Linked DNA regions of Oryzias latipes. The protein of the gene in region 3 binds, or shares a complex with, the protein of the main gene of each other region. Links are inferred from orthologs where the notes say so. Each region holds a gene or a part of one and is shown on either strand. Other genes may lie near its edges.

Region 1 (10,653 bases), on a different chromosome or scaffold from region 3:
CAGAAACCGTCTGTCAGAGACGAAGACTGAACCTGAGCAAAGCAGCGTCACATGATTCCAGCAGCAAAGACCACCAGCAAAAGTCACAGCAAATCTGGGAAGTAAACCTGTTTTGCTTAAGGAAAGAGTCAGAGTGGGAGAAGAAAAGGCTCCGGTGAGCTTTGGAGATCCCCAAAGGGCTCTATGCACAGAACTGCGCCGAGTTACTTCCTCTCTTACTGCATTTCCCAATGATTTCCAAAAAACAAACGACCCCAAGTAATTATTGGTTTTCGTTTGAGTTGTTTTTTTTTTTTTTTTTTGCATTGAGTGTTTCTCTTTGTGCGTTTTCCTAATTTAAAAAAACAAAACAAGCTAGTATTTGCCGAGTCCCCGAGTGCGCTGCATCAGCTAAATACAACTTTCCACACGTTCCCAAAAGATGGTGAGAACCGGCGAAAGTGAGACATTCGTTTTCCACGAGATCGCTTTCATTTCACTCCCGATGAGCCGATTGAGCCGTCAAATCCTGATGGACGCAGGCGTTTCAGGGGAGGAGCCATCCCTGTTCTTTTTGAACGGAACTCGCTTCCGGCCGAACGTCCCGGCGTCTGGAAACCATCCGAGCCACCAAACGGCCCGAGACGACTGACAGGAGTGGACTAGGAGCTTTTTGTAGAACTCCTAACTAGACACTTTTTACACTTTTCTCTCTTGCTTAAACCTTTAAAGTTCAAACCTTTATAGAAAATTAAGGAATGAAGAGAAAGATCATGAAAAATTGAACTAAAAACAAAAATCCAAGAGACTGTGAAAGGAGATCCGCGAAATAGCGATGGAACACAAGTACGTAGTGTGTGTTGAGGTTTTGATAAATATAGGTCTACGTGACAAGTTGCTGTCAATTTGAGTCTAGACACCTTTATTTACATTACTACATAACTACTTGTTATGTCCATCCATTGACTGTATATGAGAACTGGACTGAGTGACCCCCTCCCCCCTTGGCATCCCAAACAGGAAGTACCCCACTGGCTCCAAAAAGTCAAAAATCCCATAGACTTCTATGGAGAAATAAACAGCTGTTACACAGTCATGTTTTTCTTTGATTTTGATAATTGTTGCTTTAAGAATATAAAATACAAAGACTGCTGTAGAAAATTTAGAGTTTAATGTCAATCCAATGGAAAAAGGTTTTTTTCAGCACATGTCAGTCTGTTCTTTTATGAGTGAAAGTTGTAGGGTTTATGAATGTATTTTAAATCTTTTTGCATGTTTTTGGAGACCTTTAGCGGTCGCGCCAGGTACTGTTGTTCAACACATTTATTTGAATAATCTTTATTGAAAAGAACACATGTAGAAACAGAAAGGATTCGCTAGCATGCACGCACTACGTTTGTCAGTGGAAAGAATTTGCTGCATACGTCTCAATTCAGAGGTTGCCAAAAACTAACCCTTGAAACTTGAAAAATAGTCAAAAAATACCAATATGTTGAATAAAAGACCAGGTTGTCACACGGACAACCAGCAAGTTCATTTTTGGTTGTCCTCCGTGAACTCAGGTTGTCTCGGACAACCGGATAACAGCTTCTTTCGAACGCTGTTGGATAAACAGACCAATCAGACGCCTCAATAACAGTAGGCGGCCTCGCGTCAAACGTTCAGAGCGTTCAAACCGTTTTCAGTGGAATGGGTGTGGCCTTCTAACATGCTTGCTCCTGTTTGGAGAGTGCTTGCCATAGAAATGTTGAACCCCTGCTTACTGAGGTGACCTGGTTCCACTATAGCGCTAAACAGATCGCGGAAAAACAGCACTTCATTTGGTGGGAACCATTGTCTATGGGTGACATCACACTCGTTCAGTCCAGTTCTCTTATACAGTCAATGTGTCCACCTGATGCACTTCTGGAGCCAAATTTCATTTATTGGGACTTGAGAAAGCTTCAGAAAAGAAATGGTAAACTCTAAAGACTCATTTCCATGTAAAACGGCATCGTTTCCGCTGTCGACTCCCCAAACCTGAAATGACGGAGCGGTTGTACATTGAAGGTGGAGGTAGCGTGTGCATATCCCCTATTGTCTTTACTTGCTTTTAAACCCAGCAGCAGCTGCTGTAAAGGCCTCTTAAAGATAAATCTTATGATCAAATATCCTTAAACTGTTAGGAGACGCTGAAGTGAAAGCTGCTGTACATTTCCAACGCGGCAGCAAATACGGCAAAAGTGCAGAGAAAATCCTGAGATTATGAAGCCAGATGATTGAAGCCTCAGTGCCTCACCTGGCTGGCAGTGGCCCCGGCGCCAGAAGGTGAATCCGCTCCAACAGGTCTGAGGAAGCGTGGCGGCCGCTCCACGGGGGAGTTCCGGCGGCGGTAGAACAGGACGTAGGCGTATCGCGTCACCACCTGGCTCTCCTCCACCATCGTTACGGTGCTGTCGTCAAACAGTCGCCACCCTGCAGGACCACAGAGACGCACGGTTAGAAGGTGCCGCTCATAAGCTAGGTGACAAGATTAAAACCCGTTAAGAGCACATGTGTCAAACTTAAGGCCCGCGGGCCAAATGTGGCCCGCCATAGTATTTTACATGGCCCACGAGAGCATAAAGGTTTTTAATTTCTTGAAATAAAAAGATAAATATTGGTGTGTATTTATTCATATTTAGGGGGAATCGGACTTGAAATATCTGATTGGGCAGCTAAACATTAGGACTTAAACACTTTCCATATAACCTAACCTGACAGAATCTAATTTAAAAGGATTTATGCTAGAGTAACAAGCAAACGTATGTTTTCTATGCAACTGTAATCGTCCCTATAAAAAAGTCATAATAAATAAATAATGAGTTATTTAACAAAGAGGAGTAGTTACATTTATTTTTCAGTACGTTTAGTTACATTTAGAGGTTATATCTGGCCCTTTGAGGACAGCCACTATGCTAAGTTTGTCGCCCCTGCTTCAGAAAGCGCAGCCTCACCAACATCACTGCGCTGGCTGTTCTTGTCGCTCGGCAGTCGAGCGTACGCCGTGTAGTGACCTCCGATCATTCCTCCATAGTGGTTGATGACAGCGTACAGGTCATAGATGGGGGGTTGCTGCATGTCGTCCTTTTGGCCGATACAGAACTTGCTCAAATCTAAATTTCTGGAAAACAAAATCATGTCACTTAAAGAATAAAAAATGATGAATGGAATGGAATGATCCAGAAGGTCTTCAACACACAGGATTTGTTGAAGGGACAAACAACTGAGCGAGCGTTACCCGACGGTAGGGCTGCACGATATGAGGAAAACTCGCGATATGCGATATTGGTGATTAATATTGAAATAACGATATAATTCGCGGTATATAAACAAATAGCAAAACAACCAAAAACATCATTTCCATTTCACTGCAACAGTTTAAAAATTATACTCCAAATGACCCTCATCTACATAGGAGGCAAACATCAAACATAAAAGGGCTCATCTGATTGATCAACAACGTAAACGGGTCCTTCCGATTGGTTAAATGCATAAAGGGATTTATTTCATTTGCTCAATATTTCAAGCTGCCATGAGTTTGTTTTGGCACATTTAAGGTAACCATTTATTGCGATTTTTGCCGTCTTTTGCGGTATGCATATTGCACAGCTTGATGTCGCGATAACAATAAATTTGCGGTATATTGTGCAGGCCTACCTGACGGGGAAATCGACCATGTCGTTGATCTTGTCCCTCCAGATGAAGCTTCTGAAGGAGAAGCGCTTGAGCTGGATGATCAGAACGTTGGGCAGACGCCACAGAAGCAGCTGCTTTGAAGCTTCGCGGTGCTGCTGGCACTTGGGACAGTACCTAAGCAGATGCACACAAGGAACAAAAAAATGTTTAAGAAGAGACTCGTTTGTATATTAAGGCCTAAAATGTGAACATTGTCTACTTTAAAAGCCTTTTTTTCAGAGGAAAACAACTTTTCTTTTCCCAAATTTACCATAAAACATAAACATAAATGATTGTAGTCATTTCCACTTTACAGATATTTAAAGTTTTTTGTGTGGATCATTTTAATTTAGTCTGTCCTATAAGTTTTTGATGGAGCAGGCAGGACACATGAACGTCCCCTGGAGTGTTTCTGTTCTTCTCGTCTTTAACAGCAGAAGCCGGACTCCTACCAGGCCTCCTCTGGCGCCAGCACCTCCGGCTTGGTGAAGAGATTCAGGCACTGCTCGAGGGTGAAGTGTCCCGCTCTGGCCGTCTCGCTGAGGGAGCCCGGGTCCTCCTCGTACTCCAGCTCCTTGGAGCTCACCAGCACGTACTCCTTGAGGCGCTCGTTGTTTTTCCACACCAGTTCCAAAGTGGCATCTTCGGGGAGATCCGCCAGAGCGTCCTCTGCAGAGAGGGGGGGGGGGGGGGGGGGAGGACAGTTGGTAAGTAAGGCGGTTTGAAGCTTCTGTGGAGGCTCTCGTGGATTCTGGCAGCACCTTTCTCATCGAGCCTCTGCTCCTTGTTGTTGGAGTCCAGCAGTGCGATGTAGAACTGACTGGCGTGACCAGACGCAGATTCACTCGAATGCTGATACCCCGTTACTGCAGCTACATAGGAAAAGACAACTTTTTTTTTCAGGTTGTGCAAATATAAATCACAAAAACAGATTTTCTATTAGCGTTTTACCTTCGGGTCGCACCGTCTTTTCACAGGATGTCTCCTTTTCTGCATGGGGGTCGAGAGAGCAGCAGGAGGTGGAGGAGATTGACTCTGAGAAGCCTGAATCTTTAGTCCGGGAGGAGGACAGCGAGTCTGAGACCTCAGGGTGGATCGACGAGGCCGGAGCAATGTCTGCCAGGGATTGACTGTCCAGCTCCAGATCCGCCGCTCCCACTGAACTGCTGCCGCCCACGGCTTCATCCCCAGAACCAGGAGCCTCAGGAGAGCTCGCCGTCATCGGTGGGAGGTCAACCCGGGACTGCGGGGTTTCAGGAGATGCTCTGCCCGACTGGAAAGGAGGCTGGAACACGTTTACTGAAAACCTGCAGAAAGTCAGGAAGCCTTTTAAGAGATGTGGGTTGATTGGAAAAATAAGTTTTTATATTTGTAATTGATGAAAATGTGTTTGAATTTTGATACAAGTATCAGCAAAACACAGATTTCTCCCAAACCAAAAAGGTTAAAAAAGACAACAACAAATACTTGTAAGAAAACTTTGAAGTGCCACTCAGATCATCTTTGGATCTATTTTTAAAGCGTTACCGGTGGTCTCTAATGGCGAGCAATATTGGAGCTAACCAGCCAAACCGTTCCGATCCAGATGAGGAAAACATAAATGGATCTATTTGTCTGTAAGTGGATGCATCAGACAATAATTTGATTGAAGAAATGCTCAAAAATGACATTTTTGTCGGAATTTTCTTTTTTTACTTCCTCAATCATCAGAAAAATGCCACAAGAGAAAATAAAAAACACAATTTTCATCAGAGTGAGTCTTTAAAATTGAGGTTGAATTGATCCACTTCACAAGCAGTTTTCTGGCAAAGTACGTACCTGGAGTAACCTTCCAGCAGCTGGGCCAGCCTGGCGTAGGAGAGCCGAGACTCCGGCACACTGACCATGAAGGGCAGGCCCACGTTCTCAGAGTTGGGCCGACACAGACCTTTGTGACTGGGCCAGTGCGTCTTCTGACAAACTCTGAAAGGAGAAGAACGGGAACCACCCACGTGACGATTCTGACTTCTTCACAGTGGAATCAAGAATAAAACGCCGGTGCTCCTCACTGATTGCAGTAGCCAACTCGATAGCAGCGCATGCAGCGCTTCAGCTTGTCTTCTTCAGACACCGGAGGCTTGAGGCAGGCGGCGCACTTGGAGATGGGAGTGTTGGGCACCTGAAGTTTCTGGAAGATGATCAGGAGACCATTGAGTTTCTGCGGCTGTCCGTCATGCAGGAGACAACCCGAAAACAGCCCATGTCCTACCTGGTGCACCTTGATCAACAGCACCCTCTCTTTGGCTAGATCTTTGGAGAGCAGCTCAAAGCAGAACAGCATGTCTGAGGGCGACACGGTGTCCAAAGACTGGGACGGCAGGAATATGCGCTGGAAGCGGTTCTTGCTCACCTACAAGAGGAAATTTCCTTCGATTCTTTGGACTAAAACAAATTGTGATTTTCTTTTTTATGGAGCAAAAAAGACACAAACTGACCAACCTCTGCTATTCTGAGGTTCTCGGGTTTGACCCTCACGCTCCTGGAGATGGATTCCAGCACCTCAGCTGTGCTGGAGTTCTCCTTGCTCACGCTCACCAAAAACTAGAAGAAACCCCCAAAAAAAGCAGGAGTTGTTTGCACCGTTTCCAACAAAAGGTAGAAGTTCAGGAAAACCCACTGAAACTGACTGGTCTCACCTTGATGGGCTTCTTATGAGGTTCCTTAGCAAAGAAGAAAACGGAGAGAACCTTTTGCTTTTGAGGAAGGGGAACAGGCAGGTACAGGAAGGGGTCAAAGGTGATGGAAACCTAAAAAAAAAAAAACAAAAAAAAAAACAGGCAGAATGTCAGACCAGGTGAAGCAAAGCTTGTCCGAGTCTCTTTGTAGGAATAGCACATTACCTTTGAACACATGGGACACACGAGTTTGGATTTGAACTGGCCTTGGAAAAGGTCGACAATGAAGGAGTCGTTTCTCATCTTGTGCCTCTGCCACGCCTCTTCTGCCACCACCTAGACCGACAGATGAACAACCGCCAGGTCAGAGCGGATTCTGACTGAACCCAAACCCAGATTCCGCCGCCGTCACCACCTCATCGAGCCGTCCGTCGGAGTCCACCGTCTCCGTGTACGGTTTGTTCTGGATGCGGTTCAGGTCTTCGTGCAGCCCGTCCAGTAAGAACGCCATGAACTCCTGCGCGTCGTGCTGAGCGTAACCCGTGAACTGACTGGCTTTGCTGGCCACGATTGCCTAAACGCAGACAATGACCGTGTGAGCGGCGAGATCAAAAGGAAAACATTTACGAATTTCAAAAGGAATTTTTTTTTTTGCTGGAGATTTTTTCAAAAGCTCTATTTGAGGAAGATTTGACATCATTAGTGGAAAAAAGGAGCAAAACATGATTCTCGTTCTATTTTAAACACAGTTTCTTTATTATTCTTTTTCCTTTTTTAAACATTTAATCTAAATAACCATTAAATAAATAACCATAATATCCATTCTTGCTCTGATACATTTTTTCAACATCTTCTTGATAATCCTCTTTTTATCATGGTATTATTCTTTTTATTATTTATATTATTATTCAAGTTATAAACTGACCAATCAGATGCATCAATAGAAATAGGTGGAGCCTAATGGTCCCCACAGCATTTAAAACATTTGATTGACATTTCGGGCAGCCCGCTTAAGTGATAGGGGTGTGGCCTTCCAACAAGCTCAATCCTGATTGGTGAAAGGGATTAGCAAGGAAAAGTTGATTCAGACCGACTATGCTTGCTGACAGTTTTTGGTTCCAACATGTCATATACTGCGAGACAATGGCGACGGCATTGCCTTCATGTGGTTGGAGCACCGGTCCAGTTCTCAGATAGGGTCCGTGGTTCTGGCTCACCTTGAGTTTTGAGGGCTGGAAGGCGTGATGAGTCCCTTTCCACAGAGCCCTGAGCAGCACGGCGAAGCCGATGGCGAGCCTTCCTCCGGTTCCCAGAGGGTTGCTGCAGTTGATCTCAGCCTCAAACGCTCGGTCTGGAAGGACAAAGGGATACAAATTTAAATGACAAAAAAAAAATGTAACATGGTCAAATGGATGATAGATTCTACAGCTTTGACTCAATCGTGTTCAGCCGTCACAGAAAAAGCATTTTCCAAACTGCCATAAAAAGGTCACTTCCGGGGTTGAGGTGACCTTCATGTTTTCCGGTTCGAACACTTCAAACTATTTGATCCTCACAAAGATTCAAAGTTTTGTTTTTAGACATTCGAGATTCTAATCAATCAACAATCAACATAAACTACATTTTTTTTCACAAAAAATACAGTATCAAAAAATGCAAACTATTTGATTTAAATGAGCAAAAAAACTACATAATATCAAAGTTTCAGTCATTTTAGTAAAACATTTTTTCCTTTATGAAAGCTTGTGTGGAACTCTGTCTGCTGCATGGTTAGATCATTTGACTATTTTCAGGTGATTTTCTTCTTGAGGTTGGAGTTCCTTTCCTATTCTTAGTCTTCCTCTTTTTGGAGTGAAGCCTCAAGCTGAGGTAAACCTGGCTGACGGACGGCCTTTCAGAGTTCTCGCTAAAGCTCGAGCTCGTTTTTACGGAGGCGAGGAAACATGAACTTTGTTTACCGTGAAAGTAATCCCTGAGTTCTCTGGTGTTCGACAGGGACTGGATCACACTGTTCATGAAGCAGGTGTTGCCCAGGTTGACCAGTCCCGTGAAACCGGGGAGGCACACCTTCTTCTCCTCCTCCTCTTCGTGGCGCTCGATGCTGGCAGGAAGGCTGTACGTCATAGGCTGGACCATGCAGGTGGGTTTAGGCTGAAGCAGGAGGCAAGAGTCTGAACGAAATGTCTTATTTAAACGAGCAATGAGCAGCACTTTCCTCAAAAAGGAGAACTGCTCACCAAATGTTCACTTCGTACTCACCGCGGTAACGGCGGGCTCAGATTTGGTGATGGCAACGTGTTCAGAGACGGAGCGAGGTGCAACGCTGTCCAGAGCCCCTCCCTCCACGCCTCTGTTTGAGGCCTTGGGGGCCTTGGCCGTCTCCTCCCCAACTCTCGGGGGCTCCTCTTTGGCAGGGAGGCTGTGCTGACTGCTGCCTGGCTGGCTTTTGTCCATGCAGGCGGGGCTGGAGGCCACAGCCACCTTAGCACCACCCACTGCACCTTAAACAGGAGGCAAGAGCTTGTGGTTAGAAAAACGGAGCCCAAAAATGGAAAAAACTGCCTTTTTGTCGTCCGCTCCTGTTTCACAACAATTTGGATACAGAAATACTCAGAAATAATATTTTAAGGTTAACATTCCTCCACCATCAGAAAAATGTCACAAACATGTAATTTTCATCAGATATAAAATAAAAAGACCACTGGGATTGCTTTAAAAACAGCTCAAAAGGGTCTCTCACAACCAAATAAACGCAAAACTTTACAGTTGAAGTGTTTCTGCCTCTCTGTATTTGAACTGAGTTTGCTGAAAAAAGAATTTGACTTTATCTCAGTCATTTTCTGAGTGCGGCACATGCTTAAATAAAGTCAAAGAAAAACCAGCATCGCTTTAAAATAAAACCACACATTTCCAATAAAAATTCTAAAATGTTTAGCGTCAGCAGGAATCCAAACGTAATCTGCAAATTTTGATGGAAGGGTTTTGGGATTCGTGAAGGCTTGAAGAGTCGGCAAAAGCGGTCCAAATAGAAGCCCGGCAGCAGACCTTGTGAGGCTGGAGCCAGGAGCCCCTCCCAGCGCTGGCTGTGCCTCTTCTTCAGGGTGATGTCCAGGCGGGACGGGGTGAAGGTGTAAGTGCACTGCTCAGGCTGGATCAGGTTCCTGGAAGACAGAACGGACTCTGGTCACGCCTGAAGCCAACGTTTCCGCTCGTTAGCTCGGGGAAAATAACTTACCTGAGTTTGACCTGCCACCTGAAGACAGTGTTGGGTCCGCAGTCCGAATGAAGATGCAGAAAGTTAACGTCGCTGTAAAAGAGAAGATCAAGCTGGGTGATCCCTTCCCGCTCTGTGTTGGAAGACGTTGTGGTTTACGAACTTTGTATTTATGACCGGACCTGGTCTGGAAGATGAGGGTAAAGTCCTGCTCCCTGAAGATGACTCTGGCAGTGTCCCTGCAAACCCCTTTGATGTAAACATTAACCACCATCAGATCGGTGCCCTTCTCGTACGAGCCGTTCTTCACAGACTGCAGGTTGACCATCGGCTCTGGAGCTGCACAGACGAACACATCGGGAAACTCACATTTAGCGCTGAACGAAAACCAACAGATCAAAAGCTTCCTGAGCCCTGATTGTTAAGATCTCAGTTACTAAAAACCAGGTAAAAACATTTCTATCAACTGTTTTCTCAAAAACAGCTCAGAGGATGAACTTGGATGAATGATGCTCTACATTTTGCAGGAAACCAAAAATCCCGGCTAACCTTCCAGCGGACTGATTTCCAGAGGAGGCTCTTCCTTTGGCCGATCCCGTTTCTCTTCTCCATCACAGCTGTTCTGGATCAGACCGGCTGCGTGGCTCTGGACCGCCTCTGTCGAGACCAGCTGCTGCTGGATCACAGGACCCGGCTCTGGGCTAAGCTCGGCGGGTTTCGCCGCCACCTCGGAGTTCGTGCACTCCCTCTGCTTTCCAGAGGCGGAGTCTGCTTCTTTGTTGAAGCAGACGGGTTTGAGGCAGGGGCTGGTGCTCTCAGGAGCTCTGGGCTGTTCGTCTTTAACTTGTGCTTTTACTCCGGATCGGTTTAATGACTGGTTTCTCTTTTGGAAGAGAAAAAGAACAAGACCGAAGTGAAAGTTAACCAAAAGATTCTGCGTTGATCTCTAAAGACGACCGACTGATGTTTAAGGCGGTTTAGACGTTCAGCTTTTTAACGACCTGACTGGGATTTGAGCCTTTCCTGAATTAAGAAAGTGTAAACTTTCCCTGCTGTCTTAGTTGTCTTTTGTTCTGCCATTTGTTCATGTATCACAAATCATAACTTTAT
Region 2 (11,353 bases), on a different chromosome or scaffold from region 3:
CTGATAAGAGAAAATATATATTTATCTCCTTTGGTAGCATTTTAAGAGTGGAATGAAAGACCGCATGAAGGCTGAACATGCTGCCTTGAAACCCTTGTGCTATCCTAGGCACTTTAACATTGGGAGTTGGGTCATCTAGACCCACTAGACAGTGCTCTAACCCTTTTTTCTTCAATGATTTGTGATCTTCACTGGTGTCCATGGATTACATGAAATCTTTCCACCTTTATCCACCTTTGTCATAGTAGGGAGAACACGTCAATGTAAGGGTGGGGTCATCTAAGGTAGCACAAGGGTTACTTAATATGATTACATTTCTGTTTAAATGTATCATTAAGAGAGTGCGTGCATTTAAATGTTGTGTTTTTGCACACGTGCAGTACACAACCCATTCAGTTAATTTGCTATCACTGTGGAATGGAAACTGGAAAATTACATTCATTATATTGCTTAGAAAAGGTTGTCATGATCATATATCCCACTGTGAAGCTGTAATTGTTGATCAAAATATACTTTGGATTTCATTCTCTGTCGAAGCCAACTGGCCCCACGTGTGGAGGAATGTAAACGTATCTTCTGAGAGAGTGAAACTGTGCATTACTTGTTTGTTTAGTCTGTTCTGCAAGATGCTGTGGTTTGTGACCTGTCCTTCCACCCTAAGTTACATGGTGTCACGGTGCTGACCGTCCTCACTTGACTGCTGTCAGTTTTATAGATGAGGTTAGCAGTCTGAGTAATCTCCGCTGAACTCACAAACACACCAGTCTGACATAGTGTGACTTTAGTGTAAAAACGTCTTTCTGAGGTCTTGGAACATCAGTGCACAATTGTGGTGTAAGATTTGAGTACAAGGTACTTTAGTCTTGGACCTTGAGAAGTCCCAGTTTGGGGAAATGTTCTCCTTTGAACATTCATATGTTTTGAAGCCACAGCGGGATGCTTGAAAGCATCAAACGACACATCCTCAAAGCTGCTTGTTCTGTCTGTGTACAGATGTTCTTTGTATTTTGTCTGATGCTGTTGCTGAATTTAATCAGATAAAGGATTGTTTACCCAAATAGGGCTTAAAAATAGGGATAAATCAAAAGTTTAAACCAAGGATGCTGAAAGGCTTGCAGCAGAGAGGTACACTTTTAATCAACCACAGCAAAACCCAGTTCCTGCTTTCAAAGGTTTAAGAAAATTTGTCGAAAATCTCTTGTTTCTCTGTCCTTGAGGGATGCATCTAAGACCCATGGCTGTCCTCAATATTTACATAATAAGGAATAACTTCACAAACTTCTGGTCTTCTTGGTGAACCCAAAATAGTTCCTTTAAAAGTCTGAACTGAGTACTAGACCTTGAGGAACAAAACAACAGCAAATAAACTATATATTATTCTAGACGATGCCGTTATTTTTTTAATTTTAATAAGAATATTTGTCCATTTCAAGAACCAGTAACTTCCTTATAAAATATTTTTTGCCATTATGGCAAACTTAAGTCAGACATTTAGATTTCATTTAAATCCAAATAAAAAAAAATATTTGACACGTTGCTACATCCTCAATGAAAAGTGTAAAATGTAGTCAGTTGCAGACAACAGAGATGAACTGGTTTCTCTTGTTCAATTTTCAAATTCCTTTGCAGCTTTTACAGCCACAAAATGTTCCTTTTTATAGAGGAAGCACTCCCAAACCTCATGTGTTAATACTTAACCATGAACGCATCCCCTACAGGCTCTAAAATAACGAGAATTGTTTAATAGAATCAGCTTCTGTTGTTTATCTGCATCCATGTATTTTTTTTTTTTTTACCCTTCAAGGTTTTAAAACAGCTGGGCATCCTGCTGAAGCTCAGATGTTTGGGATTCTGTTGGATACCAAATAATACCAATAATAACAATAATAATAATAATAATACGAAACTGCTGAATTTAAGTTTAATGAAATGTATTTATCATTTTTTCATTACAAAATTATAATAACTTGAGATTTGTGAAGGTTTGAAAACAGAAGCGCTACACTGCCACCTACTGGTAGGATTGTCACATTGGTCTTGTAATTTTTTCTTATCTTCACCATAAAATGTGTTGTTTAAATGTGTTTTGACAAGTTTCTATCATAGTAAAGCTTGCTTTCCAATTCAAAACATTAAAAAGAAATGTAGAATCAACATGTTTTTATATGTTTTATATTCCCACTAAACCTAACTTAATAGTTGAAAATTGAGCTATGACTATCAATAAAAATTTAAGAACATATTATTGGTTAGTGTGCATTTTTCAGACATATTTTACCGTCATGGTTATTTAATTCTTAAAGATTACAACGGCTCTGGTTTTTGTTGTGCGCCCTCCTGGTCGTTAGGTGGCGACACTTTCAGCCTCACCATGGTCATATCCTGCTCACGTCGTGAAGAGGACACTCTTAAACCAATATGGCGGCCCGCCGGCTAACATGTTTGGGGTTAAATGCCGTTTATTCTACAGTCTTCTCACCAAATCAGGTAAAGGTCACGTATTAACGTTTTGACCTATGTTTTTTTTTTTTTTTTGTAAAATCGCCCCATGTAGTTTCAAATAAAGGGTGCAAAAACTCTTTTTGACCTGGACTATGTTAGCTAACTCGGAGACATAAAATTGCTGCGAAATTTAACTTTAATAATAAATTCCTTTACTGTTCAAATTGTGTTGAGGAGGATAGACAGTAATTGAGAGTAACTTTATCTTAAAACTGTTGTAGAATAGAGACTGACATTTTTGTATAAAGTTAACATATTGTGAACATCGACTGACATTATTATGACCTCTCCCTTTGCTGCGTTTTCTGCAGACGGTACAGGCAGCTCTCATTACATTTCTGATAAACCAATTAGTCAGAGCCTGCGTTTGCATCAGGGTTCGACATTGACTTATCCGACATTATGACAAACATGATTAAAAAAAACACGTTAAGAACATTTATGGAAAAAGTAGAGATATTTGTATTCATTAAACCAATGATGAAGCAGTGAACCAAATACACTTCTCTCTGTCAGTGGTCAATTTGTAATACTAAATTTTATATTCTTGGTCTTAAAAAGCCTAAAACATTTACATTTTTTTAATCTTTTACATTACTGTTTTTTTAAAGATGGTCCGATTTACATGACCTACTATCTTGTTTTGGTGTACTCTATAAGCTGCTATAACAGTGTTAGTTTAACTGTGCCAAAGCAATAAAAAAAGAGATTATTGGACCACTTGTTTCAAGCCCGCAAAATGAGAAGGAATTATTTTTAAACTGATGATCGCAAACAGACTTCTTTTACAATATTTTGTCAAGCACCTCTTGCATTACAGAACTAAGATCAAGTGAAAACTTAAAACCAGAGAAAATAGATTGCAAATGTGTGGTAAATGGAGAGAAACCTGTCAGAAACTTGATGTGTGTTGTGTGCAGGCACTAAGAAGCTGCTGGGGAGCTGTGGAGCAGATGAGAAGCTATTATGTTGACTGGAGGATGCTGAGGGACGTCAAAAGAAGACAGATGGCCTTCGATTATGCAGATGAAAGGCTACGGATCAATGCATTAAGAAAGAATACTATCCTGCCTAAAGAGCTTCAGGTAGGCTCCAGCTTCCTATTTACAACTAGTTCCTCATTGTGCCACACCATAAGTTTGACAGTATGCTCTTATTATTTAAAGAGTCACGATTTTACAAAAGTTCTAGTTGCACACACAATATATGTCAAACAGCTGAAAGTACACCAGTAGCGGACAATCCCTAAACCCTGTCTAATTGTCTTCATAGGAGATAGCAGACAAAGAAATTGCAGCACTCCCGAGAGATAGCTGCCCTGTGAGGATACGCAACAGGTGTGTGATGACTTCCCGGCCCCGAGGAGTGAAGCGGAGGTGGCGACTGAGTCGAATTGTATTCCGACACCTAGCTGACCACAACCAGATGTCAGGGATTCTCAGGGCAAGGTGGTGAATGTGGTCTATTGGATTCGTCTGTAAGATTGTGTGTTAACAAAGCAATGCAGGTTGCAGATTTCTAGAATGTTGTGTGAACTTAAAGAAGTAATGCAAATATTGAGTATTTAAGCTCGACTAAGAGTAAAAAAAAACAAAACATAATAAATATTGTTGTACAAAAGTGTCCTGTTTTTTTTTTCCTTCTTTTTTATGTGGTGGTAATAAACACAAACACTGTGTTTATTGTGGAGAAAAATGCTTCTGAATGATCTACTGATGTGAAAAGTTAAAGCCATCATTAAGCATTCATGTGCTGTGTAATTTTCAACACGGCTGTTTGAAGCTTCACAGTGTTATTAAAGGATTAATTTATGGTGTTTAATTTGAACATGATGGTATTTCTAAAAAAAAATAAATAAAGTGTCCCAGTGATACAAGTTGCTAAATGTTTTTGTTGTCAGGTCATATACTCACCCTAAATAGAAATAGCTGCTTTAAAATAAAATAAAAAATAACTCGTGAGTATAAATATTGCCACTAGTAATTTACAGTACGTAAAATCTGCTAAATTTAAAATAAATATATCTTACTGTTGTGTATTGTTCTGATCTTACTTATTCCAACCACTGGGTGGCAGTAATGAGATTAAAGGAACTTTTAACAGCAGGAAATAATTCTAAAGAGGGCCAAACCAAATTGTTAGAACTCCTCACTGCGAAGAGCTGTGCTGCTTGACAAAACTGAGTGGAATTTGAAGAACCAGAATGGATCTAACGGAACAGGTAAGAAACATGTCTTGGCCAAAGTATTATTTTAGAAGAAAAAATCATTGTCTATTTGGATGAGTTTGTTAAATTTACGTCGGTCTCAATAGTTGGGCGATGTGTTGTGTTAGCTGTCGGTTAGCCGCTTGCCCTTAACGGATTTTTTTGTATGCTTTGCTTTGTTTCTTTCTGTCTGTATATTTTTTTAGACGATTGTTTGAAAAGCTTGTTTAGTTTGTCACAGTGACAAACGTTGAGGGCGAGAAAAGTCCCTGTGATGATTGACGTTCAGTTGTGCTCATGAAGTTTACTAGAACCTTCTAGCAACATCACGCTCGCGGGTTCTGCGCTACACTTCCTTCGGAGTTGCTTTATAGCATTTTAAATGATAGAAAAACGATTGAAAGCGACAATATCTCAATTCCTATTGGATGCTATTGAATATCCTTACTCGTAAATGTTGAGGTTTATTTTATTATATGTCGTGATAATTAAACTTAAGTCATAATAGAGCCATGCTTTGCTTTGGTTTTTATATTTTGATTAAAATCATGTGAGTTTTGCTTTTAATTAATGCTTTTTTATGTTTTTAGGTGAATTTCTTAATCATGTCTTTGCATAAATGTGTTTAATCGAACAGTGTACGTTAAAACATTTCCATAAGGGACTTGCAGATCTCATCATTAGCAGTTCACACATTTGAATTGGTTCTTAACTGACTTAAGTAAAGGTTAGATGTAGAATTTCCAGTCAGGAAAATGAAACTTTTAAATTGTACTGTTTTAGAAGAAGCTATATATAAGTTAAATAAATAAATAAAACAGACTTGATACAAATAGTTTGCTTCATCAAGATCAGCTTGTGCAGTGGTTGTTCCTCATTTTTCTAACAGATCAGTCAGCTGGAAGCAGACTTGCAGGAGCTTAGTTCCCTCCTGGAGAAGTCTGAGAGGAAAAGGGTGCAGGAGCTGCTGAAACAGGAGCAGAGGAAAGTGGAAAAAGAGCTTGCAACGAAACGACATCAGCAGGAGCAGCAGGCTAAGAGAGAAGCCGATCCAACAGCAGGCTCTAAAGCACCATACACAACTAAAATCACCAACTATGGTATGGAGCATGTTTGAGAGATTACAAGTGTTTGGAACTAAAAAAAAAAAAGAAAGATTTGAAGAATTGTTTGTGGTTTTATCTTTTGTATCTGTAGCATGGGACCAGTCAGACAAATTTGTTAAAATTTACCTGGATTTGAAAGGTGTTGACAAAATCCCAGCAGAAAATGTTGAAGTCAACTTCACTGAAAGGTAAATCCACTTATCTTACAGTTTTGTAAGGAGCATTCATACATTTTTTTATGCTAAGCCTAATTTTGTCTTGGTTCAGGTCTTTCTCTGTTTTGGTAAAGAATCTAAATGGGAAAAATCACCAGATGTCAGTGCTCAACTTGTTACATCCAATTGATGAAAAGGACAGCTACAAAAAGGTGAGTCACTTTTTCTCTTGTCCTTTAAATGTTCCTCCAGTGTTTGTTTGAACCAGTAGCACCATGTTTTTGTTTTTGAAAAAAGTATTCTTTGCAAAATTTGGTACCAAAATGTCAGCCCCCTTTTTTTTTCTTTCTTTTTTTATCAAAAAACCTTCCCAGTTTTCATACTCTTCCGAATCAGCAAACAAAAAACCAACAAAGGATTTTGGAACCTAAAAATTTGCTCACTGAATTTTTTGGATTACATATCCATTTATTCGGCATATATGTCCCCTTTGTTTTTACAATTGTATTTTTTCTATGTCACTAATTTCTTACTACTTTTTTTTGCAACAGATCAAAACAGACATGGTCTTGATCATGTGTAAGAAACAGGCCACAAAGAAGTGGGACTGTCTAACAGCAGTGGAAAAGCAGTCCAAAGAAAAAGAGTAAGTTCAGAATAAACCTCTTTTTTAATAACTAAATGTGTTTTTCATTAATGTTTAGCTGGAAACACAACAATGTTTGGCCAGTTTAATGTTGGGCAATATAGAGGAAATGTATTTATCAAGTCAAGGTTTCTACATAAAGTCTAAAGAAAAAAGTCATTATAAAAAAGGTCTGTAGATTTTTACAGGAGACATAGATTGAATAGAACAAAGTTGCTGACATGTGAAAAGGTGCTTCTGATGAATGAAAATTGGATAAAAGCTAAATTACAATCCTTTGTGAGAAGACTAAAGCACTGGGTCAACTCAATTCAGGCTCTGGTTATGCTTCAGGACAAAAAAATTTTATCATATTTTGTTTTTAAATTAAATCTTGAACCATTTTATATTTATTTTTACTACATAGGAGTATTAGTTTCTTATCAGAGACCTTTATTATTTAGTTTTCCTTTTGAAAAATGTCCTAAATGTCCTGTTTTTACAAGTTATCACAAATCAGAAACAACTACCACAAACAAGCAGCATTGTTTTGTTTTGTTTTATTGCCATTCTCTATATAAAATCTACAGACATTTTTAGCAGACTTAGAACTTTTCATTTTGGTGTAGGACCCAGTAAATTTAAGACCTTTTCCCGAACTATTAAAGTGGAAGTTCAAGAAAAAAAGAGGCTATTTGTAGCCTCATTGGACCTTTAAGGTGTGGCAGATAAATATAGCAAAACAAAATAACACAACTGCCCAGAAAATGTGTTTTTATAAGTAAAGTAACATTATGGGGCCTGGTGCCAAGTGACCCACAGACTGTTACCAGTCTGTAAAGATACGCTAACCTGATTCAATGACCAATAAAATAAGGAAAATAAAATTAAGTGCCATAACACACATTAAAGCTGTAAAAGTGGGGAAACTTCAAGTTTTTTATTGAAATACTTATCACACATGTATTAATTCAAGGATCTTCTCGGGGTTGATAGTACATGACCCTTTCCTTGCAGCCGTGAAAATATTCCCACATGAATGTTGTTGTTTTTTTCCCTCTCAACAGTAAACCCAGTGCTGAGGATAATGCAGACCCAGGTGATGGCTTAATGAAAATGCTGAAAAAGATTTACGAAGAAGGAGATGACGAGATGAAGAGAACCATCAACAAAGCTTGGTCAGAGTCCCAGGAGAAGAAGTTTCGAGGAGAGGAAACGATGGACATTTAAATTTTGCAGTTTTTGTTTCGATCTTGAGTTTAAAAGTTAGAGTTAAAGGATCATATACCTAATGTGATGCAAACATGGAAACATTTTTGTCTGGCACCTGAAGTTATTATGGGCAGAAAGGAGTTCTGTCCACCAGATGGCGCTAAAATCAAACCTATCATCTTTTGGTTTAAGATCTGAAGTAATGGAAATGTAATGTTAGATCAGATATCAAAGACGTTCCATCTTGTTCCTAAAGGGTTTTTCACATATGTAAATGTACTTTTTATTTTATGGTAATTCTATAAATGGATCAAATGGGTTTCAAAGACACTGATAAGCTTTTATTGCCATAATCCAAATTATTGCATGAGTCTGATAATTGTTGTATGTTTACACATCATGCTTCCACAAATTGGTAATGTGACCTGCAGGATTTCCACCATAGTCTGTATGTATGGTAGCAATAGTTTCATTTTCAATGGAAAATTGATCTCCTATACTGCTGAAATGCATTCCTCCAACTGAAGTTGTTTTTCCAATATTGATTTGTTCCAAAACTATTAACAAATATACCAGCTAAGATGAACTTTGTCTGTTTTTGTTACTTCTACATCCCAAAATCTTTATGTAATAATCAGTGGTCAATTATACTAATATATATTTATTCTTTTGAAATTATTTTATGCTAAAACATCAGTGTCATTTTACTTTTCTCCCAAAAACGAAAACAACCAATAAAATACTTTAAAACTAATAATGATGTATTTCAAAATAACTTAGTGTTGACTGCTGAGTCTTTATGTTTTAGTGTTTAAATTTATTAATTGATAAGTTAATTAGTATTTTTTATTTTGTAAATTTTTGTATTTTGTTTTGTAAATGAAAATCCTAGTTTTATTGGCACATTTTAGAATTCTTTTTCAGCTTTATAAAATAGAGACACAAAATGTGTGTGTAATCTTAAAGCTGAATGTTGTTGGTCTTTGGAAAACATGTCAAATTAAATCAAACTTTAGTTATAAAGTATATGTGTGGGCAGAAAAACTCGGCCTTCTGCATAAATCTTTTGAAAATCAGATTACTCACAGGTAATTTATAGTAATAATGAAAAATGTGTCAGTGCAGTGGAGCCTTGGTCTCATTCAGTTTCCCTGGGCCTCTGATACATCTTTGAGGGAGATCATGTCAGGACTAATCATTTGTACTTTCTAGTCCTTTGCGTCATCTAACTCCGCCCCCGGAAGTGTGACGTCGCCGCTCTGTCTATATAGAGGGCGGTCCGCTTCAAGAGAGCCAGATGAAAACCGTCATTGCGGATGCAGGGAGTGTGGTTCTTCGTAGCATCCGCCGACAACTAGAAAGGGATTTAAAAAGAAAGAAAACGCGAAAAGCGCCAAACGACAGTTGTCTCTGAGTTTAATGGATGCCGGCTGTGTGACCGCGGCGCACCGTGTTTCGTGCCACACCATGAATGCGGATTTATTTAAGCCCACACCGGAGCGTGGACCCCACCAGTCATCTGGCACGGCGAAAAATGCCCGGAATAAACCCGAACAGAGCAAACCGGAGCTGGCTCAGGTGGTGACGGACTCCAGGACGGGGAGATCCTACAGCAAAGGGAAGCTTTTGGGAAAGGTACGACGATTTGAGCTATTCATTTCAGAAGAAAAACCACCCTCCATGTGCTGCTGACTTCATGGATGGATCTAGAATCTGAATAAATTAGCAGCTCTGCATTTGACGGTCGCTAGTTTGAACAAACGTGGTTCTTAATGAAAATCGTCATCATGAGAGGGTTTTTTTCCAGGTGTGCTGAGTGTCTGCCCTGTGGATTTGATCATTCTGCGTGTCATTCATTGCTGAGTGATTTAGGCGCAAGGTGTGCCCGCCTATTGTATTGTGCGTGCGCGCGCTTAGCAACGTCTCGTTACAACATATAATAAAAAAAAAAGAGACATGTCGGTGATTTTTGTTGTTTTTAATTTTTTAATTTTTACTTGACACCCATCATCAGACGAACGATTCACCAAACTGGCAGACGGCCCTTATGATGATGCACCACTGCGTCCATGAATGAATGAATGAATGAATGAATGAATCTACGTGTTGCTTGACTCAGAGCCAGATCTTTATATTTATTTGTTTACCCCCTCCCGCCCCCTGCTGCTGCTGCTGCCGCAGGGCTGAAAGCGTCTCCGTCATTTTCATGGTTAATGGATGCAGCAGCTTCCCTCTTAAAGGGTGGGAATATGGGGATGGGAGGGTGGAGGCTTGACCGAATCACAAGAAAAAAAAACAGTTCTCAATTTCATCTTGGACTGAATGATGAAATATGCTTTTCAAAGGCATTTTTACAGACTTTTATTAAGAACTGCATTCCACCTCATTGATTATTCCTCTAAGGCCCTCAATGCAGTTTTTTTAATTGCTGTGAATCTTTACAAATATCTTTTTCTTTTTCTTTAAAGGGAGGTTTTGCTCGCTGCTATGAGATGACAGACCTGTCCAGTAACAAAATGTATGCCGTCAAGGTGATACCACAGAGCCGAGTGTCTAAACCACACCAGAGGGAGAAGGTGAATTAAAAAAAGCAGCGCTTTGCATCTGTCGGCCCTTAAACTTATATATCCTGCCAGAAACTGACCAGTTGTGAAATGTTTGACAGATCACAAATGAGATCGAGCTGCACAGAACCCTGGCACACAAGCATGTGGTGAAGTTCTCCCATTATTTTGAAGACCAAGAAAACATCTACATATTCCTGGAGCTCTGCAGTCGTAAGGTGAGACCTCACAGATCTCTTAAAAAAATGGTCAGCTTTCAGTTTGTCTGGTTAAACCACATGCAGTGGCACATTTGAATTCTTTTGTTCCTGTTTTAATTTTTCTAGATTAACCAGACTTTGCTTCTGCTTTGGGTATTTTAACTCAGAAATTGTAGATTTTTATTTTATGCAGCTTAGACCACTACACAATTGCTGAACAGACCCACAGGATTAAAGTAGCCATGTGTTACAGCCAACCGCTCACAGACGCTCATCTCTAACTCTTTGTTGCTGCAGAGAAATGTCTGTGTTGCAGTCCCAATGATGGGCGCAGGTCTGACATTTCCCTCATTGCTCTGTCTCTCCAGTCCCTCGCACACATTTGGAAGGCCAGGCACACACTGACAGAGCCCGAGGTGCGGTATTACCTCAGACAGATCATATCGGGTCTCAAGTACCTGCACAACAGAGGCATCCTGCACCGAGACCTCAAACTAGGTAATTGTCATGAGGCATGCGGGCAACAAGCATCCCAGGAATCTGCTGTGACTTTGGCTTCGTTTATGTTTGGAATGCTGACTGAAAAAAATCCACTTGTCTCTTTTAGGTAACTTCTTCATCAATGAGAACATGGATCTGCGGCTCGGAGACTTTGGTCTTGCTGCAAAGCTGGAGACTGTGGAACAGAGGAAGAAGTTAGTGTTTGATTATTTAGACAATCTTGTCACAGATCTGTACAAAGCTTTTGTTAGAGTAGGGCAAAGGGGGGGGGGGGGGGGGGGA
Region 3 (9,537 bases):
TGCTCTGAACCTTTTTTCTTCAATGATTTGTGATCTTCACTGGTGTCCATTTATTACATGAAATCTTTCCACCTTTATCCACCTTTGTCATGGTAGGGAGAACACGTCAATGTAAGGGTGGGGTCATCTAAGATTAAGCTCAGAGTTAGCTTTCTTGATTTGTCATTTTCCATCCATTTTTTTAAACCCTTTTAGGGTCACGGTGTCTGTCCCAGCTACTGTTGGGCTAAGGTGGGGTACACCCGGTACACCTGGCTGGAGCCAGAACCTCAACCAGATCTTTTTTCTTCTTCATTAGACGGCAGAATTAGAAATAAAGGTTTGGATAAAATAACTGATTTGATTTGGCTAAATTGGATTTTATTTTTCATGAGAAAAAATCCAGACTGCAACACCTGGTGGAAAACCAAATAACTATTCTGCATACTGGAAATTTCATTTGATGTGCAATGGCCCTCTGCTGCCATAGGAGGGCGCCAAAGATGAGTTCAGCTTGAATATACTTTGATTTTTGGAAACTAAAATGTTGGTCATTCCACCAAATACTATGCTTTTAATGATAGTTTGTTGCAGGTTAGATATTTTAAAAGTTTAAATAAATCTTAGTTTCTCCTAGATTCATAAATCTCTAATAATTACAATAATAGTGAGTTTAATATTTTAATCCACTCAACTGCAGTTTCTTACATAAGTCCTTGTTTCTTTTCACTGCTTTAATAAAGTAAACGTGGTAAACACTGAAATACTTTAATTCCTATAGTGTTTTATAAATTATTTTTAATTGTTTACTATAACTGAGATTTTCTATCAATGTAACTTTAAGAAGGAGAAACGATGCAGAATAGCCACGCCCCCATCAGCTTCTCATGGCTGCTGTGACTCTCCTTGGGAAATCAGTTGGAAGTGTTACTTCCATGGACTGTATGAGTGACTCCTCCCCCTCACGTTCTAAACAGGAAGTAAATACTGGCTCCAAGAAGCCAAATCCCATAGACTCCTATTGAGAAATAAACAGCTACCCCTTGTGCTACCCTATGACCCCACCCTTACATTGACGTGTTCTCCCTACCATGACAAAGGTGGAAAGATTTCATGTAATCCATGGACACCAGTGAAGATCACAAATCATTGAAGAAAAAAGGTTCAGCGCACCGTCTGGTGGGTCTAGATGTTAAAGTGCCTAGGACAGCACAAGGGTTACAAATATTTTTTCTTTATTGCAAGTTAAACTGACGAATCAGATGTCGTAAATAAAGTATGTGATACCTGTTAGCCCCCACCTCCAAAATGTAACCCTTGTGCTATCCTAGACACTTTAACTTTGGGAGTGGGGTCATCTAGACCCACTAGACAGTGCGCTGAACCTTTTCTCTTTAATGATTTGTGATCTTCACTGGTGTCCATGGATTACATGAAATCCTCTCCACCTTTGTCATGGTAGGGAGAACACGTCCATGTAAGGGTGGGGTCATCTGGACCCCATAGGATAGCACAAGGGTTAAAGCATTGACAGATTCTTCCAAGTCCCCTTCCAATAGGTTATGGGTGTGGACTTCCAACAAGGTCACTTCTGATTAGGTAGAGTGGTTGCCATAGAAACAGTGACTCAGACCAACTCGGACCAATCCCTGATTTCTGTCTCCAACATGGCAGCATCCATATAGCGAAAAAAAATGGACTGAATCGACTTTTGGGGCCAGACTTTTCTAAGGGTGATGTCATCCTGACTTAGTCCAGAACGTTTGAGAGGCGCCGCTCATGTGGTGCAGTTGTCATTTTGTAGAGCTGCCTGAATGCACACTTCCAAAATCCAGTCCCCTAAAAAATATCCCAGAAGTCTCTACCAAAAAAAAATAAAAATAGAAAGTGTGTGCATCAACACTCACTAGATTGGCAAATAAGGACCACAATGCAATGCGTTTGAATTACTTTTTCATATTAAAAAGGTTATGAAAATGAAATTTTATAACCCAAGTCATCAGAACACAGTGGGTTCATAAATGTTCATTCTTTTTAGGTTTTTACTCTGGGAAATCAGTATGTAAAGAAAAGTAAGTAAAGTAAGTAATTTATCGTAAAAAAAATAAAATAAAAAATAGTAAACATGGCGTCAGAATTCCTTTTACAATCCAGACCACTACATAGTCCTGCAGTTTCAAGTTTTTTTTTTTAGAAGGGAGGGAATCAGACACAGCCGTCGTTTCCACAGCTGAGCGTCCTCCTGACTCCTCCTGCTGTGTTGGAGGTTCAATTCCCCCTCAAAGGAACGGCAGGACGCGTCCAAACCCTCAACCTTCTGAAACAAACGAGGCTGCTGAGGATGAACACAGGAAAGAAGAGGGAGCAGCTATGAAAAAGATAGATTTATTTAATGACAAATGAAAACAGAAAGAAGTCTTAGAGCTTGAGGGAGAGCAGCAAACTTACTGAGACTGCAGGCGGAGGAGCACCACCTGCACCACCTCCTCCCAGAGAAAAAAAAACTTTCCACACAGAGAACAGACGGAGGAAAACAACCCAACACTGGAGAAAAACAAACCCTCAGAACGAGAACGCTATTCTCTTTTTTCTGTTTAACTACAAACACTGAAGTTTAGCCACACGTTTAACAACTGCCTTTTAAATTTTGTTTCTCTCTTTTTTTTTTTTTTTTTTTTGGAATTCAATACAAAATAATGAAAATCATGATAGCAACATTTTCACCTGTAGGAAGGGATGTGTTCCAGGCTGGGCGACGCAGAGATGAGTGCAGGGAGGAGAAAGAAAAGGTGTACGAACATGCACACGACAAACACACACACAGCCATTCATCCAGGAACTAAAATGTCTAAAACAAACGGACTAACAAAATAAAAGCACAGAGGAAAGACGGGTGAAATGTGGATTTCCTTCTCTGTGGGCCGTGTGGGGACGCACAGGCAAATGCTGCTGAGAAAACAAAAACAGTACATCCTGGGCTTCAGTCCGTTCAGTCTGACTACTGTCGAGCGTTTAATGAGCGTCTGATGCATTTTCCTAGGCTGGACTCGAACGGAACAGAAGAGACCGGACCAGCGCCGGTGAACTGTGACTGTGGTGGGACGCTACAGTCGTCCCGCCTGCCGGAGGTCGTGTCAGTTATAGGTGAGGACAAACGAGGTTTTCTGTGATAGACTCAGTTCCAGTTTGAGCGGGTCGATAGCAGCCACAGTCCTCCGTCGAAACAAACAAAAACTAGCTGGTCGGCTAGCTCAGCACTGAGCAGGAATCAGTCCGGAGCTTTGATCCGCTCCTTCCAGAACTGTAGTGTCCCAACAGGACTGAAGGGGGCGCCAACAACAGAAAGAGACACTAAAACCATAACGGCAGACAGACACCCCCGTTCCTCCACACATGGCTGGACTGACAGTCCGGTTAACGGGGGAGACAAAGGTGGGCGAGGGCACTGAGGTCACGACCCCTTTGACCTGCTTTTTAAAAAAACGCCTCAACCATTGTAGGAGTTTGGCCCCGCCCAGAGTTTTTAGCACATGGAGATGGTGACGTTAATGCCCAGGTTTCCGTTCTCTGCAAACAGCTGCGCGATCGACGTGTCGAACACCAGGCAGTCGCTGTTCATGATGGCGGTGGCGATGCCCTCGTGGATGGAGCGCGGCGTGGCCTCCCAGGTCAGCCGGCGCCGGTGCCCGTTCAGCTCCAGCCGGTATGCAAAGTTCTCGGCCTGCTTCCGGGTCCCAATGAGCTGGACGATGGCGAAAAACTGCTGATGTCCATCGTACTTTTCCTGCTTCTCCAGGACCAGCATGAAGTGGAAGCCAAAGCAGGACTGCATCATGACCCAGTCCACGGCGCCGGGCAGGTTGATGTCTGTCGCCAGGAACACGATGTCCTCCCCCTGAGCAAACACACGAGACATGGTCAAGTCAGACGCTCACGCCGCCTCCAGTCAGCAACAGATCTTTTAAAACTCATTTGAACAAGAAGTTCTGATCAACTGAATGAAATGTAAATCCAGGTTTCTTCCTAAAACAACATTTTCCAACCGGATGAAGCTTTTGTTCTTCGGCGGCAGCAGCTGAAGCTTTCCGTCATAAACTCAAAGGCGTCTGCGCCTCACCTGCAGGGTGGTGATGGACTTGTGCTGATGCATCAGGTGAGGCATCACGGCGTCCAGGGAGCCCTGCCACTTGCAGGAGGCGCCGGGACAGGGGCAGGAGTACGGTCGGAACTCGCACAGCTCCTCGTGCTCCGTCTTGTCGGTGTGGGGGAGCGTGACCTCGCAGCCTGACGAGGCGTACTTGCAGGGAAAGAGGACGGAGTTGGCCACCTTCTCCATGGCCAGGTTCCTGATGGAGCCCAGCGGGCCTCTGCAGGTGGGGCAGCAGGTGAGTTTGGGCCGACAGTTGGAGCACACCTGGAACAGAGCACCTCCCGTTAGTGTCACCTCCTAAACGTCCGTCTTCAGCCTCACTCGCACGTACCAGGTGTCCCGACTGGCACTGGAGGATGGGGGGCAGGACATAGTCGAAGCAGACGGGACACTCGAACAGGCTGGCCAGGTCACTGTTGGAGGCGGTGGTGCCCGACAGGGTGGGCACGCGCTGAGAGGGGGGGCACTTGGATGTTCCAGTGGGCAGCGCGGTGGCGGTCTGGCGACTCATTTCTGAGGAACACAAGAACAAAGCCGAGATCAAAGCGCGGTCTGATGAGGGAAGATCTGAAACGGATTTCATCTGAATATTCAGAAACGATGAGGAGCAAACAGAAAATCTCAAACCTTTGGCAGTAAATTTGATAAATGTTGAGAGAAGCTACATCAGCTGAAAAGATGCAGATATAAGGTACTGAATATTTAAATAACGCTGCATTACACCAGTTAGATAATCAACAAAAAATGCACACAGGAATGTCTTGGGTAATGATTCACTCTGACAAAAAGTTTTTTTATTTTTATTTTTTTTTTTACATTTTCTTGAGGGATCCGTCTGATGATAAAAAAGACATAAAAAAAAGCTTAAAATGGCATTTTTGAGTATTTATTCAAATTGTTGTGAAAAAGTGAAACTTTTTTTATAGGAATGCTAAAAAAAGAAGGAAACAATTAGATGCTTATTCATCAAAATGAAGAATTAAAAGTTCAAAATGCTAGTTCCACCCTAGAGCACTATTGCAGGGTGATTTTCACCCGTGCAAAACTATTTCCATGAACTTCAATAAGTCACGTGTCAAGCAGTCTGCGCCTCACCAGGGAAGGCTCACATGTCCCATAAGACCAAGTTTTTAGGATCATTGTTTAGACATTTTTTGTTCTCAAATTCCCAATTTTTTCTGTCATTTTTGAGCATATTTTTAGGAAAAATCCTATGTTTGTTTGTTTTTTTTCATTTTGTTACACATTCCACAGATAAAAATAAAGGAAAACCACTTGAATTTAACACATGTTGTCATGTTTTGATCTATTTTTTATGATTGGTACTTTTTGCTGGGATGATTATATTGGGGAAAAAATGACCCGGCAACAAGGACGGTGGGACTTGTTGTAGCAAAAGTGTTCCAGGGTTAACAAATGATTTATTTTAGAGACAGATGACTAAAATGAAAAACAGTGAAGGAGAGATAATAAAACGGAAGAACTCCATTCATTCCAGCTTTAAAATGGTTCTAAGCTTAAACATTTTGTTAAGGCATAAAAATCAAAAGCTACAGCAGAAATTCCCGTTTTTTTTAAGTCTGGAATTAATTGAATCCTCGAGTATAAGAGGAGAGATTTCAGAAACATGTTACCGCCGTTTACGTCAGTGTTTCAGTCAAATGTTTTCACTATTTGACAAAAAATGTTGTGTTCAAAGTTTAGCAGTGATGTTGTGTCTGTTGCCTTGGGAACAGCACAGTTCTGTGCAGATGTTCCCTCAGATGAAAGAACAGAAAGCAGAGATGAGGATGCTACTGTTAGGGAAAAAAAGATGCAGACAGAATGATGAAGGGATGCTCGCCGACGTCCATCAATAAAAATCTCAATCAGATTTGTTGATCACTTGATTAGATTTATGTACCACAAATGCTTGTTTTTTTTGTTTCAACATTCTCGTCAACCGTAGGAATGTTTCTTTTTCTTTTTCTACACTGAACATAAATTCCAGCTCTGTATTTGTTAATAAAGTTCGAGGCTCTTTAAACACTCAAGATCTGTGTTGAAAAGGAGAAAGACATTTATTTACCCAGAAGAACTCAGACCACAGAACACATGTCTGATGTTTTCTGATGTCATCATGGTTTATAGGGATGAAAAATCCTTGAACATGAAGTTAGCTAATCAGTTATTATTAGCATGCTAGCAGGAGCAGTGGGACTGATTTGGCTTAGGATGCAAATCTCTGACGTGCGTGTTGGGGGGGGGGGGGGGGGGGGTGTTTACAGACGGCACACAGAAGGGAAACCTGAGACGGTGCCTCCAACATGTGAGTGACAAACACTCTGCAGAAGTTTACTCCAAACAGAAGTTCTTATTTTAGCCGGACAGAAAGCGTTTGTGTGAGGAGAACGTTCCAGTGCAGCGATGAGGTCACACGCTGAAACTCTCTTCTGCTTGACAGCAGAGAAGAGTGAAAAGACGTTGGAGGGAGAGGTTTCAGTTATCAAACATCAGATTTCTGGGAGGCACTCAGTGGTTCGGCTTAGGTGGGTTGACGCAGGGCCCCGTTTCTGGAAGGACCTCGGTCGTGGGTCCTGCTGTCGGGGCGTTTTGGCAGCGAGGAGCTGAACAGTGTTGGATAAACATAGCATCACTTGTTCAGTTGGCACGCCCGGTGCCAGCTGACGAGGAGCTGCCAGATAAAGACGGCGTGGGCCGGGCCCTGCAGCGGGACGGCTGATCAGCCCGACAGAAAGGTCTGAGCCCACACACACAAAACTACAGCAGACATGGGAAAACCAACAAAGCTGCCATCGATCCTGTAAATGTAAAGCAAATCCCCAACAGATCCACTCAGACACAGACAGACAGACAGATTGACAGACAAGACAGACTGACCTTCGTCCATAAGATTTCCAAATAAGGCTTCTGTCTGCTCCTGAAATGTTTGGACCTCTGAAAGAGAAAACAAAGGAAGTGCACATGAGAACCCGACAGGCTGGTTCTGAACGTTCTGCTTTGTTCTCCAGTCAGACACAGAAGTGGGCTCGGATTGTTGTGATGTTCCGGCAGACGTGAGGGCCGGATGGCGCCGAGGCGGTGTTTGATGGGCAGGACACAGAGCGTGCTCACTTTAGATTTCTGCTGTGTGGACGCTTTGCTGCAGAGCCACTCATTCATATTTCAGTAAGTCTGGTCCATTTCTGGACTAAAGGTTGACGAGTGAAACCCGTTTGTCTTCAGCTGAACAAAATCTACACAAAGCAAATTATTCCTGGACACGATTGCATCACATTTGATTTGAGGTTTCTGTTAAAACGACGTACAATGTCTCCTTCTGTGTGGAAACAGAACTCGCAAACACAGGAAGCTGCTTTTTGAAACTAAAAATTCATCTCCACATAAACCGTCTCGTCTACAAACATAGGCAGAAAACAGGGCTACGGTGTGGGAACAGGTAGACGGATAAGACCATCGATGGTTCGGGGCGTGAAGGTGAACACCAACGATGAAGGAAACCATAAACCATAAACATCTTCCTGTCTTTGTTCTGCCAATGGTTTGGTTGCAAACAGACCAAAAAGTCTGTTTCACCAACAGCTTCTGCCTCCATGAACCTCATGGAGGCTCAACAATCTTTAAACGCATCGCAAAAGAAAACCATTTCCCTTTTAGAAGCTGAAGAAATATAATCTAGAAATAGTTTCATTAATTAAGAGATTGGATATTTTTCTCAAAAGATTGGAAATTATTATTATTTTTAATTGATGTTATTTAAGAAACCAAGCAGAAACCTAAATACAATGTTGAGTAAATACAAATTGTACATTTTTTTGTATATATTGAATCCTTCAACTATGTGATGAATCTTTTGACAGAAAACAAGAACATCTTTTGTGCATCACAGAGCGAGAGGCGGAGCCTCAGAGATGGAGTCGTCCTACTTCCTGATTGGAAAAGAACTCAGGAAAATAACTAATATTTAATTTTAAAAGAAATGTTCTTTTGTGTCCCAAAATATATCATCATATACATGGATATATATATTTTTTACTATAAAAGGCTTAAGAAGAGCCTGGTATAGGCCCTTAAAGGACCAAAACATAAACACACAAAATGAATATTTAAAAAGCAAATTAGTTTTAATAAATGTTCAAAAGTGCTATTTGTGAAGAAAACATTCCCGTCGTTCCCTTTTCTCTTCTATGATAAGAAATTAAATATCCTGAATGACAAAACTAAACAGAGGAACATCAGGACAGGTGAAGGGGGATTCAACACAAACGTTAATCCACGTTAAAACAGTGCAACATAATGTACGCAGGGAAACGGTTAAAAGCATCTTCTGTGCTCGCCCACGTCACGCACAGCATCGGTGTGCCAACACGGCCCCCTGCACACAAAGTGCCAATTCAAGCCACCTTGGGCAGAAACATGGAGCTGGTGAGGATCGACGCGCTTCACCTTTAGTGTTGTGCACATTCCTGGTTGCTACGCATGAGAGCAGCCTGAACAGGGAGTTCCAGGGTGGAGCTTGTGGAGCTACACTTGTCTGCTTGGATTTCACTTGGACCACAGACATAGAGGTAAAGCATGTATGCAGCCCCTCTGTGCCACGCTGCTCAGGCCTTTTCCATGGAAACCACACACTGCTGCTGGAGCTCTACGCATTCCTCCAAATACTGGATCATATTTCCCCTCCTGCCACCCCCGCCCCCGCCCCCACCCCTCTCCCCTTGGAAAGTACAAGCTTCTGAGCGGCTGGAGTTCTGCAGCAGATCCAGAACGAGGGTTGTGTCCAAACAAACACCAGCAGATCCTTAACAGCGGGAAAACGTCAGAGTCCAGGGTGTTTGAGCGACTCCACTGCAGAAGCAACAGAAGGAGCCCGGACAGCAGCCAGGCAGGCTAAAGGGTTAATCAACTCGCCAGTCTGCACAGGAAACGGGAGGCAGTTTAGGAGAGTCATTAGAGCTTCACCAACACTGGGTAATTATCCAGTTTCTCCACTCAGGAACTATTTGACATTCCACGGGGCGGTTGGTTAGCAGGTATAGAAAGAGGAGTCAAAAAAAAGTGCAAGTTTGCAAAAGAAAAATCCTCAAAACAAGAGAGCCCCAGCTCAGAAACCTAACCTTGGCTCCCCGAGAGGAAATGAAAGAAGAAGAAAAAAATCCAGTGTGAAGTCTCCCCCTTCACTTTCTTCTCGGTTTGGATTTCAGTGATGTTCTTTGTCCTGGGGAGCGTGGTCGGTGTCAGCGCCACTGGCTGTGTTTGTCTGAAACACAGAGCTAAAGTCCGCATCCAGCGCGAGTCTTTATCTTTGTCTCTGCAGGCTCAGCCCTCACATGTCTCAGCTCAGCTCCAGCTGCATCTCCCTGCTGCTCCTGCAGCCTCGTGTCCTCTGAAAGCCTGCAGTTTGCCTT

What was found.
Region 1: the proteins of siah1 (region 3) and usp19 are in contact, whole or in part, in a crystal structure (PDB 4X3G), measured with the Homo sapiens proteins. The link is inferred for Oryzias latipes from reciprocal best matches to the Homo sapiens genes SIAH1 and USP19. Residues at the interface, in NP_003022.3 of Homo sapiens: Cys130, Pro131, Thr156, Leu158, Gln159, Asp162, Ile163, Val164, Phe165, Leu166, Ala167, Thr168, Leu172, Val176, Asp177, Trp178, Val179, Met180, Asn276; in NP_006668.1 of Homo sapiens: Lys463, Pro464, Thr465, Cys466, Met467, Val468, Pro469, Pro470, Met471.
Region 2: the proteins of siah1 (region 3) and cacybp are in contact, whole or in part, in a crystal structure (PDB 2A25), measured with the Homo sapiens proteins. The link is inferred for Oryzias latipes from reciprocal best matches to the Homo sapiens genes SIAH1 and CACYBP. Residues at the interface, in NP_003022.3 of Homo sapiens: Leu158, Gln159, Asp162, Ile163, Val164, Phe165, Leu166, Ala167, Thr168, Val176, Asp177, Trp178, Val179, Met180, Asn276; in NP_055227.1 of Homo sapiens: Lys59, Pro60, Ala61, Ala62, Val63, Val64, Ala65, Pro66, Ile67.

Annotation. Positions count from the first base shown.
Region 1 is NC_019865.2:4,249,848-4,260,500, forward strand, and holds part of usp19 (ubiquitin carboxyl-terminal hydrolase 19), read right to left. Parts: intron 10,427-10,653; coding exon 10,093-10,426; intron 9,883-10,092; coding exon 9,726-9,882; intron 9,637-9,725; coding exon 9,565-9,636; intron 9,491-9,564; coding exon 9,375-9,490; intron 8,831-9,374; coding exon 8,589-8,830; intron 8,481-8,588; coding exon 8,288-8,480; intron 7,681-8,287; coding exon 7,547-7,680; intron 6,904-7,546; coding exon 6,745-6,903; intron 6,666-6,744; coding exon 6,555-6,665; intron 6,462-6,554; coding exon 6,351-6,461; intron 6,256-6,350; coding exon 6,154-6,255; intron 6,065-6,153; coding exon 5,924-6,064; intron 5,843-5,923; coding exon 5,724-5,842; intron 5,638-5,723; coding exon 5,494-5,637; intron 4,983-5,493; coding exon 4,627-4,982; intron 4,548-4,626; coding exon 4,437-4,547; intron 4,345-4,436; coding exon 4,128-4,344; intron 3,811-4,127; coding exon 3,658-3,810; intron 3,122-3,657; coding exon 2,955-3,121; intron 2,434-2,954; coding exon 2,258-2,433; and 1 more. UniProt on the Homo sapiens protein: Deubiquitinating enzyme that regulates the degradation of various proteins by removing ubiquitin moieties, thereby preventing their proteasomal degradation. Stabilizes RNF123, which promotes CDKN1B degradation and contributes to cell proliferation.
Region 2 is NC_019875.2:24,406,234-24,417,586, reverse strand, and holds cacybp (calcyclin-binding protein), read left to right. Parts: upstream 1-4,592; 5' UTR 4,593-4,705; coding exon 4,706-4,723; intron 4,724-5,597; coding exon 5,598-5,808; intron 5,809-5,905; coding exon 5,906-6,002; intron 6,003-6,081; coding exon 6,082-6,181; intron 6,182-6,520; coding exon 6,521-6,615; intron 6,616-7,661; coding exon 7,662-7,824; 3' UTR 7,825-8,557; downstream 8,558-11,353. Other genes in the region: mrps14 (28S ribosomal protein S14, mitochondrial), read left to right, coding at 2,419-2,487, 3,423-3,587, 3,775-3,957; serine/threonine-protein kinase PLK3, read left to right, coding at 9,226-9,441, 10,275-10,382, 10,472-10,588, 10,939-11,068, 11,178-11,265. UniProt on the Homo sapiens protein: May be involved in calcium-dependent ubiquitination and subsequent proteasomal degradation of target proteins. Probably serves as a molecular bridge in ubiquitin E3 complexes. Participates in the ubiquitin-mediated degradation of beta-catenin (CTNNB1).
Region 3 is NC_019864.2:25,279,640-25,289,176, forward strand, and holds the end of siah1 (E3 ubiquitin-protein ligase SIAH1), read right to left. Parts: 5' UTR 8,694-9,537; coding exon 8,576-8,693; intron 7,067-8,575; coding exon 7,010-7,066; intron 4,643-7,009; coding exon 4,461-4,642; intron 4,394-4,460; coding exon 4,097-4,393; intron 3,875-4,096; coding exon 3,503-3,874; 3' UTR 2,349-3,502; downstream 1-2,348. UniProt on the Homo sapiens protein: E3 ubiquitin-protein ligase that mediates ubiquitination and subsequent proteasomal degradation of target proteins.